Linked DNA regions of Notamacropus eugenii. The protein of the gene in region 3 interacts with the protein of the main gene of each other region in a pairwise test. Links are inferred from orthologs where the notes say so. Each region holds a gene or a part of one and is shown on either strand. Other genes may lie near its edges.

What was found.
Region 1: the proteins of TASOR2 (region 3) and NEK6 interact in binary tests that used the Homo sapiens proteins (3 or more experiments, as listed by UniProt). The link is inferred for Notamacropus eugenii from reciprocal best matches to the Homo sapiens genes TASOR2 and NEK6.
Region 2: the proteins of TASOR2 (region 3) and ERH interact in binary tests that used the Homo sapiens proteins (3 or more experiments, as listed by UniProt). The two-hybrid records come from large-scale screens. The link is inferred for Notamacropus eugenii from reciprocal best matches to the Homo sapiens genes TASOR2 and ERH.

The regions. Positions count from the first base shown.
Region 1 is NC_092872.1:446,227,164-446,230,910, reverse strand, and holds the start of NEK6 (serine/threonine-protein kinase Nek6), read right to left. Parts: upstream 2,566-3,747; 5' UTR 2,551-2,565; coding exon 2,160-2,550; intron 1-2,159. UniProt on the Homo sapiens protein: Protein kinase which plays an important role in mitotic cell cycle progression. Required for chromosome segregation at metaphase-anaphase transition, robust mitotic spindle formation and cytokinesis.
Region 2 is NC_092872.1:310,048,781-310,052,527, reverse strand, and holds the start of ERH (enhancer of rudimentary homolog), read right to left. Parts: upstream 2,300-3,747; 5' UTR 2,214-2,299; coding exon 2,181-2,213; intron 2,161-2,180; exon of another isoform or gene 2,032-2,160; coding exon of another isoform or gene 2,029-2,031; intron 1,816-2,028; exon of another isoform or gene 1,587-1,815; intron 1-1,586. Other genes in the region: SLC39A9 (zinc transporter ZIP9), read left to right, coding at 2,300-2,407. UniProt on the Homo sapiens protein: May have a role in the cell cycle.
Region 3 is NC_092874.1:209,473,156-209,476,902, forward strand, and holds the start of TASOR2 (protein TASOR 2), read left to right. Parts: upstream 1-1,473; 5' UTR 1,474-2,124; coding exon 2,125-2,212; intron 2,213-3,747.

The DNA.
Region 1 (3,747 bases), on a different chromosome or scaffold from region 3:
AAGTGATATGCCCAGAATCACACAGCTAGTAAGTACCTGAGGTAACAATTGAATCCAACTCATCCTGACTCATTCCAGTGCCCTATCTACTACAGTCCAGTGGTTTGTCCTCTGGGAGCCTCTGAGACTCTTTCAGGGGGTCCACAAGATCAAAATTATTTTCATAATACCAAAATGTTTCAATTTCTAATATGGTAAATATCTATAGCTATAAACCACACAAAAGCTCTGTGGAGGTAGGTGTGGTCATCAGTAATTCTTAAGAGTGCAAAGGGGTCCTGAGACCAAGACGGTTGAGAAGTGGTATACAATACTATATTGCGTTCAAGGTCACAACAGTATTAAGTAGCAAACCCAAGCACACTGACTACAAATCCAAGTCTCTTTCTCCCCATGCTTATAGCCAGTTGTACCAGGGGATGAACTGCATATCCTCAGTTTCCTTAATTAGCCAGGACCACATGTGTTCTTCCCCACCTGAGGATCCCAGAACTGAGAGCTGGTACCTTAGAAGCTACCTATTATCCCATTCTTCAGAAAAGATAAGTCAGGCCTTGGAAAGGGGAATTGACTCACCCAAGGTCACACAGACAGTTACAAAGCCAGAGTTAGAACTCCTCACTCATCCTCTTTTCCTAACTACAGTTGCTCTATAACAACAATTCTTCCATTTGGGAAAATATTTTTTAAAGAAGCCACAGTCATCCATCTCAGCATACTGTGGCCCTATAAGACAATCCCATTTGTTTTTTAATTCAAGTATCACATTTGCATACGTAAAACATTCCTCCCTCTCACACCAAGCCCTCTGCCTCTCATTCCTTCTGACCCTATTCCCAATTCTGGAAGAGGTCAATTTTGTTGTTTTTCATTTTTAAAGGAAGCTGAAACATTCCACTATACAAAAACACAGGCAAACCAGACAACAGGTCATCTCAAAATCACCAAGAGATCTGTGAGTAATAACGATATAACTTCAACAATTTGAGGCCCCATGATTTCATCAGTGTGGGCACTTCCTCAGCTAATAGAGTTCCAACATTTCTACCCCTCAGAAATAGACTTCAAAACTTGTTGGAATCAAAATACATCATCACCTGCTGGCCAACCTTCTGGAGGTTCCACCACCAAACGAAGGGGACAATTCTACAGCACTCTGAAGAGTTTCTAATCTGTTATCTCATTTGATCCTCACATCGCTATGAGGGACCTAGTAGAAGGATTCTAATTCCCCATTTTACAGATGAAGACTCGGGTGTCCAAAGTGACTTGCCCAAGGTAACAAAGTCAGTTAAGTGACAGCGTTAGGACTTGAACCCTAAGCAATACTATGGGTGCAGCTTCCCAAAAGTTGGGACAATTAACTTACAGAAAAGTGTTATAGTTTTTCTGGCTCTATCTACAAGTAATGCATTCTTGTGTAATGAAAAGAGCCCTAGATTGGAGCCAGAAGATCTGGGTTCAAGTCCTGGCTCAGCCACTTACCAACTGTATGATCTTGTTAAAAGAGGGAGCTGGTTGGACTAGATGACTACTGAATTTCCTTCCAATTCTGATATTCTATATTCTAAGGCAATTCACATTTCTATAGCAAAGCAGTTTACAAATCACTTTCCTAACAGCTCTGTTAGCAGGCAGTGTGTACCTATTTTACAGACCATACAAATGCAGATCAGAGAAGCTTATGTACATGTCAGACTGAAGTCCCATCCAAATAAAGAAGACCCAGGGAGAGACGGTCTCCTTTCCCGGAACCTGAGGTGTCCAACAAAGGGGCAAGGAAAAGAGATCTACTAGGCCCCACGTGATGACTGTCAATTGAGATGGGAGGGAAACAGGTAGGTACACGAGCATACATAAACTGATCTACGTCTCTATGTCCCAGTGCCTTTATTTGTGTCTGTCTCAATGTGTCTCTTCCCATTCACCATCATGACATATACTTGGAGACAAGAGCCATGGGTTCAAATCCTAGCTCTGACACCTACTAGATGTGTTGTGACAACGAATAAAATACTTCAATTCTCTGAATCAAATGTTCCACATCCGTAAAATGGGAATAATAACGCCGGCCCTACCCACCTCACAGACTTGTGGTGAGGAAGGCACATTGCATTAAAGCCCCAGAGAAAACAGACCCACCTATTACAAACATCTACCTGCGTGAATCCGAACGTAGTATGGGTCTGTAAGTAGCGTTGGGCTGCGTGTCCCTCCCTCCACGACCCACAGTCCCCTCCAAAGTTGACTTTTCACTGTTACCCTCTCCTTTGCGGAGGAAAACAAAAGCCCAGCCCCGACTTCTGTTTCTGGGAGCCTCCCCCCATCCAGCACGCAGCAATGGGGCTGTGCACAGGAAGAGGAATCTTGGACTCTGCTCGGCCCGGAGCAGCTGGGAGCTGCAGGCACCGAGGGAGGCTGGCCACGGGCCAAGCCCCTTCCCGCCTGGACGGAGGGAGGGGGCGACACACGGACGCGGAGACCCGGACAGGGACAGGCACACTGAGACACGGACACCCAGAGGGACGGCACGCCAACCGACGGACACATACTGACAGACAGACAGACCCACCAACGCACCGCCACGACCGTGCACCAACCGACCCGGACACGCACAACACCCAGGCTCCAGCCAAGTTCAAGTTCAGCCCCCCCTCTGCCCCCGGGGGCGCTGACCGCCCAGGCTCGGGGTGCTATGGGGAAGGGGGAGCTCAGAGGAGGGGCCCTTGGGGGAGGGGGTCCCAGGCGCTGAGCCCGGGGGGGAGGGGGCGCGGGGCTCTCCGGTTGCCCCAAGCCTGAGGCTTCCCCTCCTCCGCCCCAGCTCCCGGCCCGGCCCCCAAGGACCCCAAGGACCGCCCCTCCCCACTCTGCCCCGGCCAGTCTCCCCCAGCCCCCCGGGGCCTTACCGGCTCCTCGGGGCGAAGCGCGGCGCAGCCGGAGCCCCCGAGTCCCGGACGCAACTTCTCCGCGCGGCCGCCACCACCAACTCCGCCGCCGCCGCCGGGGCCGCGCACGCGCGCCCCCGCCTCCCCTCCGGGGCCGCGCCTGCCCCTCCGCGCGCTGTCTGCCACGCAGGCCTCCCGGGAGCGCGGTCCCGGGGCCCACGGGGACTGCGAGGGGGCGGGAAGCGAGCCCCGCCCTCCCCGGGCGGTCCCCCGGGCCGCCCTTTGTCCCCTCCGCTCCGCCTTCCGCCTCCAGCGGGGCCCCACCTTGCATCCTTTTCTGGCCGAGAGCCTGTCCGCCTGTCCGGCCGGGGAGGTCAGCGACCTTGAGCCGGTCCCTTCCGTTGTCCCGGAGGGGCCCCGGTGACCTGATCTGGGAACTGTGGAAATGCGACTCTGCGAATAGCTGGGCTCCCAGGTCCCCCAGCCTCCGTGGAGCCCCCTTCTCGACCTCTAAAAGGGGGGTAATGAGCTCAGGGGTGATCGTGAGGAAGGTGAAGTTTTAAGTCCAGGGTAAAGAGGAGCCATTTGGACCGTACTGAAGGGCCCTTCCCGCTGCAGCCCTCCACGTGCTAACATCCCTCCCAGTCCTCTGGCCTCCCTTCGTACTCTTTATGGTCCTTCGGGAGGAAAGGTCGATAAAGTTCTATGATGCTGTGAGCAAGGGGGTTTCCATAACCCCCTCGGAACCTCCCCACGCACCAGCAATTCTCTGAAGTGAGTCAGCTAGTAACTTGCACGAGGGTGTCATTTTCCCTAAAAAGAAAAAGAAAAAATAAATCCTAACGATACATTTTCAGATTTC
Region 2 (3,747 bases), on a different chromosome or scaffold from region 3:
TTTGCACCAGGTCTTGTAGTATTTATCACTCCCAAGCTTATAACTTTAGCAAATTTGATCACTTTTGCTTAGAGGCTTAAAGACTATTGGTTTATCCAATTCTAAATGCATAATGGAACTTAACCGGTCTGAATAGATTTAAGGGATAAATAATACAGACTTGTTATTTTTATAATAAAGATTTTTCTTTTTCTATCATAAGATACTAAAAGCATTTTTTAACTATACTCTTTCCTCATACCAGCGCTGTCTGCAGAGCTTTCTGGAGGTTCTTCATTTTATAGTCAACCCAGTTATATTTTATATTCCTTCTATTAGCCAAATTTGTTCTAAAGCATTCCTCATGAATTTTTTTTGGACTTTTAACACAAAGCAGCAATTCTTTTTACCACGAATTACAGTAAAAAACCATGCTAATACCAAATATGAGGAAACATATGGCTACCTAAGTAGAATTTAGGAAACTCATTTTCACTCTGAATTATCTCCCCTCCCTCAAAAAATCTACAATTCTAGGTAATCTTATTCATTCTAGCATTGGTACTTCAATTTTTCAACCTCCCCAAATATAATCTAATATGACAAATTCTAAGACAACATTTTGTCTCCAAATGTTTCTTCAATTTCTACCTCCCTTAAAATCCAACTCCATCGTCCTCCTGAAACTAACGGTGGTAAAAGGACCTCACAATAACGTTGTGCATTTCTCCAATGTCTTTAAAATGCAGTTTTGAACATTACCACCTGACTGCTAAACAAGCAAGCCTCTAGGCTCAAGTCTGAATCCAGAGCCGTACCCCATTCTGACACCCCATGCAGAGTGCCTGTCAGAGTAGGTGCTCTTGAAATGTTTATATAATACCATAGTAGTTTATGCCGTTGAACAATTAAAAGACCTATATTTCCCTTTAAAAGGCATCTCAAAATTCTTTAAAAACAAATCAAGATTACTTAATCTAGTCATGAAATGCGAAAGCAAATGTTTTTCACAAGAAAGCTAATTGAATTTCTCTGATTGCCATTTTAAATTCTAATCAGACTAAAAAACAGCAGATGACTCCAATGTGCGTGACAGGAGCAAGTTGTTGTCAGGGGCACCTTTTGAATTAGTTTGCTCTATTAACACAAGAGATATTTAAAATGATCAATAAAAGTGTGAAGCACTGAAAATATTTCCCAGAAAGACATATTATCCACGGTCCAAGTTATTCTTTTCGCTCCAACCTCGCAAGGACTCAATAACCGCCTATTTGCAGGCACCATGCGTACAGGATTCCTTTATACACACAGATCCTCTACAATTTAAAACTGATGCAGAGTAAGAGACTCTTACAAACAGAAGCTCACTTGATTCGCAAACTCTTAAGTTCTACATCCAACCCTCACTTGGGGAAGGCACGGGTAATAAAATATGAAGAGCGGGAATACAGAAAGGGGGAAGGGGGAGTAGAAGGAAAGTACAGCCCTAAGGAAAACAAGCATTCACACAGTTCAGAAGTAGACGAGAGAGCCGCGGCCCCCACGCGTGGAAGGGGCACCCCCCAACTCCAAGGGCAGCTCCGTGGCTGCTCTCCATAAACACATGCCATTACTCATAAGACGGCAGATTTTGGAGGGAAAACAGGCTGAGCAGTCGACGTCGCCTCGGGGTCGGGGTGGGGGTGGGGTGGGCAGCAGACTCATCCCCAGCACCCTCCGGAGCCTGCCGGATTGGAGCGGGTGCCCTCCGCGGCCTCGCCCAGCTCCCCCGGGACCGGAGCGCGCTCGCCTCTGGCGGGCAGCTACAGGCTCTCGAGGTCGCCCACGTTGCGGAAGGGGGATTCCGAGCCGTCCCCGCGGGCGTGTGAACCGCGAGGGGTGGAAGGGTGGGGGGGTCAGTCAGCCACAATGCGGACACCGGGGGGCCGGGCCCAGTCCCCGGAGACGGGAGAAGGGCGGAATCACAAGGGTCAGGGGAAGCTCCGGTTCGGCCCTCCCAGCCTAGGGTTATTATCTGGGGTAGGGGACAGCCGCCGGGGCCTCTCTCACCATCGTCCGGAGCTCCGCCGCTGCCGCCGCCACAGCCACTGCACACGAGCTGAGCCGCAACCCCGCTAACAGCCAATCCCCGCGAGAAGAGCCACCGGAAGTCGGCGGCGCAACGCGAGAGCACCCCCCCCCAGGAGACCAGAGACCCATACCTTCAAAGGAGCCGTTGACGCCTGGCTGGCCATCTTTGATGAGGGGGGAAAGACTACCGGGGAGCTTTCGGCTTCGGTGCGGATCCTGTTCTCTCCACGACGCTGAATATTAGGCTCCTATGATCAGACACCCATTCCAGGGGATCAGCTGCTCACGGAGCGACAGAGATCCAGTCCCGCAAGCCCAACTCAAAGATGGCGGCTGGCTGGGTCGAAGAGAACCAAAAGTAGGTTGTGTCTGGGAGAGGACGGTTGTGACCCGGAAGCAACGTTTCAGAGGAGGAGGAGGGGGCGGGGAGGGCAATGCCGAGATCCGGAAGTGGATGTGTGGAGGAGGTGCCACTTGGCGGCAATGGCTGCGATGGCGGCGGCTGGGGAGGCTCCGGGCCGAGGCCGGGCAGCTAGGGGGACCCCTGGGTATAGGCCAGAGACTGAGCACTGTACACGCTTCTGCTGAATCCTCCCCCGAGGTTCCCGTTAGAGAACTGCGGCCTCCGTTCCTCAGCCCTCTAGACACGGAAGAGAGTGGGCCGGTGCTGGTGGGCTGCTCTGGGCCCTGGGGGTGACAGGGGGAGGTCACTGACGGGCGGACTCAGGGGACAGGCTCGCTCGCCTCCCCTGCCTCTTGAGGCAGTGTATCCCCCGCCCCCCATTCCGTGTCCCGCAGCTTTAGGGCCGTGACTTTACGATTGCCAGTAGTCTCACACAGCATCATTCCCCCCCATGGACTTCTCCCCTTGGTAACAGCAGAAATCTTGTGCTCTTGTCATCTGGGGATAAGGCCCCCCAAAGCCCTCGCTGGTCCTGTTACCAGGAAGCAGCAGTTCTCCCTGGTAGACAAGGAAGAAGTGACTAACGTAAACCTGCTGTCGGCTGGAGCCCGAAAGACCTGACCGGAGCAGCTGATACTCCCCAAGCCTGCTCTTCGGGAGCCACGAACGTGTCTAAATAACTAAGCACCCTCTGAAACCCCGGGTGGGAGGGGGGAACAGTAGTTGGATGTCCTTTGGGGTAACGAAAGGACAAGAAAATGGATGATTTCCTCTCCATTAGTCTTCTGTCGCTGGCCATGCTGGTAGGATGTTACGTGGCTGGAATCATCCCCTTGGCTGTTAATTTCTCCGAGGTAAGACGTTCTCAATTCTCTCTCAGTTTTCAAGATAGCTGGTGTAAAGCAGAATTGGTACGGGCAGATCCCCAAACCAGCAGAACCAGAGGCCTTTTCCCTTGCTGGACTAACTTAAAATACCAGAAGAGTTTAACATGAAACCTTCCTACTCCCAAATCCCTAACTAACATAAAACTATCACCAAGAAACTTTTAAATTGATCATTGGTTTGATTCTTTTTAAATGGTAATTGGATTGATTCTAGTTAAAATCAGTTTGTGTCGTTGCTTTGAAAAACAATGCCAGCTTGATTTTTGTAGCTTTTCTCAACTATGTTTCTGAAAAAAATCTCAGAAATAGAACTTTTATTTTAAGTGTGCTCCTAATGGGAAAGGGATCGAGATGCTGGTATTTAAAAAGTAGATTTGGAAACATTTGTTTTCGAAACATTTTTTCTTA
Region 3 (3,747 bases):
GTACCCTTGACAGGTAAAAGTCAAACCTGATTGGTGAATAACTAATAAGGGGGTGGGGTTTTCAAATGAGGAGGTGGGGCAAAAGCCTTCAGCTCCTCTTGCTGAGAAAGAGGTTTGATCTCGAGACTCCGCTGCCTCCAGCCATCTGACAAAGGAAACCATCTCTATCTACCCAGACGTCTCAGGTTGGTTTTCACTTTCATGACCTGGATTACGCCAGACTTCAATGGAGAGGTACACGACCTGGGGCTTAATGCCTGGAGGCTGGAATTCACCTCCCTTAGATTCTGTTTACATTTTAAACAGAAATAAAGTCTCCTAGTTGGGTGGGTTCCCTCCCAAGAACAAAGCTTACTTTACTAGAGAATTATGCCCTTCTGAGACTGACTTGGAGGGGCTGTTCTCTGAATGAGAAAATAGAAAAAGCCTTCATCCTAATTTAATAATTGGTTATCAATATAATAGAAAATAATAATTTCTCTCCCTGGTTGTTAAGGCCCTGAAGGGAAAGGCCCACATGCTCTACCTAGTAAATTCCGTATTGACCAGGTTGACATCTAAGATAAGATATTTTTTCCTTTTTGTTTTCTTTATTGCCTTCGCATTGGGCAAGGCCATGGTGAGTACCAAGACCAGACTTGGGGGTTGGGTTTTTAACAAGCAGAACCTCTACAAACATTGGTTCATGTTTATTGGATCTGCGTAACTCCATGTTTGGGGACGACTGTCATTTCTACCTGCGTGTGTAGGAATGTAAAAAATCTTTGTCATTGACTGTCTTACAAAGATGTTTTCGTGTATGGGACTAGAGAAGTAAGCCAAGCTTATGCCGGGGTCGCAGTATGAACGATGAATTAAAAATGCATCTATGATGGGCTTAGAATGCTCCCCTCTAGGCGCTCAAAAATTATTTTTGTACACACGTATGTATGTGGTGAAAAGTTTACAGGCCTCAAAACTGTGGAAGCACCTAAAGAGGGGGCACCTTAAGGTTGGCTTCTTTTGCGTCCCCCACGCGACCCACCGTGCTGGGGCCAGGCTTTTAATACCTGACACACACACTTCTCGTTACTTTATAAGGAAACTGGGATGCTAGATTCCAACGAAGCCAAGGTGGGTTCCGCCAGCCCCGAGCGGGCCGGGAGGGTAGGGAGAAATCCCTCTACAAAGAGGCTCTTTTGGGGGGCTTGGTTTCCTGGCAACTCTCCCACCTCCGGGCCTTCCTTTTCCTTGCAGTGTACTTCCGCTTCCGCCTCCCTTCCTTTTGTCTCTCCCTTTCCCTCTTCCTCCTCCCATCCTCAGGGGCCGAGCCCCGAGGCCACGCCTGCCCCATGCTGCCGGGGGGTGGGGGTGGGGTCAGACGGGAGGGAAATCGGCGCGTAGAGGGGCACTCGCAGGGCGAGATAAGGGACTGAGGGTCGGTTTGGCGACTGAGGACGCGGCGCCCGGACGCCGAGGGGGGCCCCGCCCTGCGTCGGGGAGCGCGGCGTTGCCCTGGGTTGCCCGCCCACTCGTGACGCCATAGTTCAGTTTTCACTTTCTTTTTTTTCTCGCTCCCGGTCTGGAAGGTTTCACTTCCGGTTGCTCAGTGGCGCCCAAGCCAACCCTCCCAAAGGCGGTCGACATGTTTCCTTTGGCTAGGTAGAAGAAAGGGTTTGCCTTCTTCTTCCCTCTCCAGAACGAGGGATCCTCTAGAACCGTCTCCTGGCCACCCCCTCCCCCCACTCTTAGGGCCGACTTGGCATAGACTCCTTTTTGGAATCTTCAGTCCTCCGGACTGCGGGGATCGCTCGGCAGCCACGACTCAGCCCAGGTGCTGAAACTCCCCAGCTCCTCTGGCTTCTCGCCGCCCCACCCCCACCTTCCGCTCCGGGCGCCCTTGGACAGAGGACGCGAGGGGAGTAAGGGCCCGCGGGGTTAGTGCTGCTGGGGCCGGGCCCAGCGCCGAGGGGAGACGCGTGCGGGAAGCGAGGCCCATGAAGCCTTAGGAACAAAAGCGAAGACTCGGAGCAAACGGAGAGCCGCGTGGAGCTCCTGGTTTCTGTGGAGATGAAAGCCATCCTCTAGTGGAGAGAAAGCTCCTTCAGCCACGAGACCCGGCGTGCGCATGTTAGGAAGGAAGTAATGAAACCTAACAGCCCGAGAGAGGAAATGAACAATGACCTGGAGACTATGGGGACCTCGGCAGTGGCAGTAACAGCACCTGAGACAGGTGAGAACCCGAGCAGGTGTGGGTGCCGCTGAGTGCCCCGTATGTCAGGTGGAGGAGAGGTCCCAGGGTGCGAAGAGGCTGGACGGAGGAGAAACCTGCCTGCCGACGCCGGACGGGGGCTCTTCTCGTTGGTGGTTGGGGGGTTTTGTGGATTAAAGAGAACTCAGGACAGGTTTTGTGTTACCGTGTGCTGCCTAGGTTAACCTGCCCGGCCCTTTCAGAGGAGTGGCTTTGGTTTGGTTTCTTTGTGATTGGATTGTTACGGAGGGAAAACGTGGTTCCTTGAGAAGAGCAAAACAGATGGAAGGTTTGGGTATGGGCTCAAGTCCGGCCTTCTCGTGTGACCTTGGCCAAGTCCTGTAACCCCTTTGGGCCTCCGTTTTCTCATCTGTAAATTGAGTTCGGATTAAATGGCCTCTAAAGGCCCCTTCAACTTTAAGTCTTAGGATGAGCGTTGAACTTATGATTGTAAACCATTCTGAATCAGAGGCTGGTTTTGGTTTTTTTTTTTTGCTTTTCACAAGATACAGGATGAGACTTGGTCTTACACCTGTGTAACTTAATTATTTGGATTGTTTTCGAAGGTTGCAGAGGGAAAAAAGGTCAGTAGTAGTGTCAGATGACAAGATTAGGCAGGATGACAACATTTGCCCGTTATCTTACATATTCACTTTAACTCAGCCAACACACTAGGGAGCCAACGGAAAGCATCATGCATTATTCAATGTTAACCAACTTGATGACCTCACAACAGGTAGGTGCTGTTTTACAGTTGAGGTTACTCTCATTTTACAGATTTGGAAACTGATTCTTGGAGAGGTTAAATGACTATGCCTAGGGTAATTTATCTAGTAAGGGTTTGGATTCTGTATTTGAACTAGGGTCTTCCCAATTCCAGGCCCAGCACTAGGTGTGGCCCTGCTGCCTTTAAGCACCTGGCGGTGGGGCAAGGCGGTAGAAAAGTCAGATGAATACATCCTTGCTCTTGTGGAGGAGTGTGTGAGGTATAGCTTCCTTTTAATCATTTCATCTTAGTAAATGAGAGAGACTTTGATAATGAGCTTCCTCCAATTCAGGATGCTCTGCATCCTGTAAGTATTGCAAGATATACTTAGTGACCATTCCTATCATTAAACTTAAAAGGGAGTATGAATTTTGTTTTGGTTTTTGATCGTTTATGTAGAGCAAACATTTCCTTTTGGGATTGGCATTTCATAGTTTTTTATCTGGAGAGCCTGGAACAGAGCTTCGTTTTATTTCTTAAGCATAATTTTCTAAAGGAGGATTAGAAGGAAAAAGTTCTTTATCAGTAGAAATAACATGGATATTTCATAGATACATGAATATCTGAGTATATGAAATAATATGGATATTTCATAGATTTTCCACAATGACTACATTTTGCTAATTTAAAAAATAACTTAATTTGACTACCATTTTTTTGATATGTAGAAACACATTTTTTGTAAATTATATATGGTAAACTTACAGAGGCAGGTCATTCTTCTCCCTTCTCCCCATTCCTTCCTTCCTTC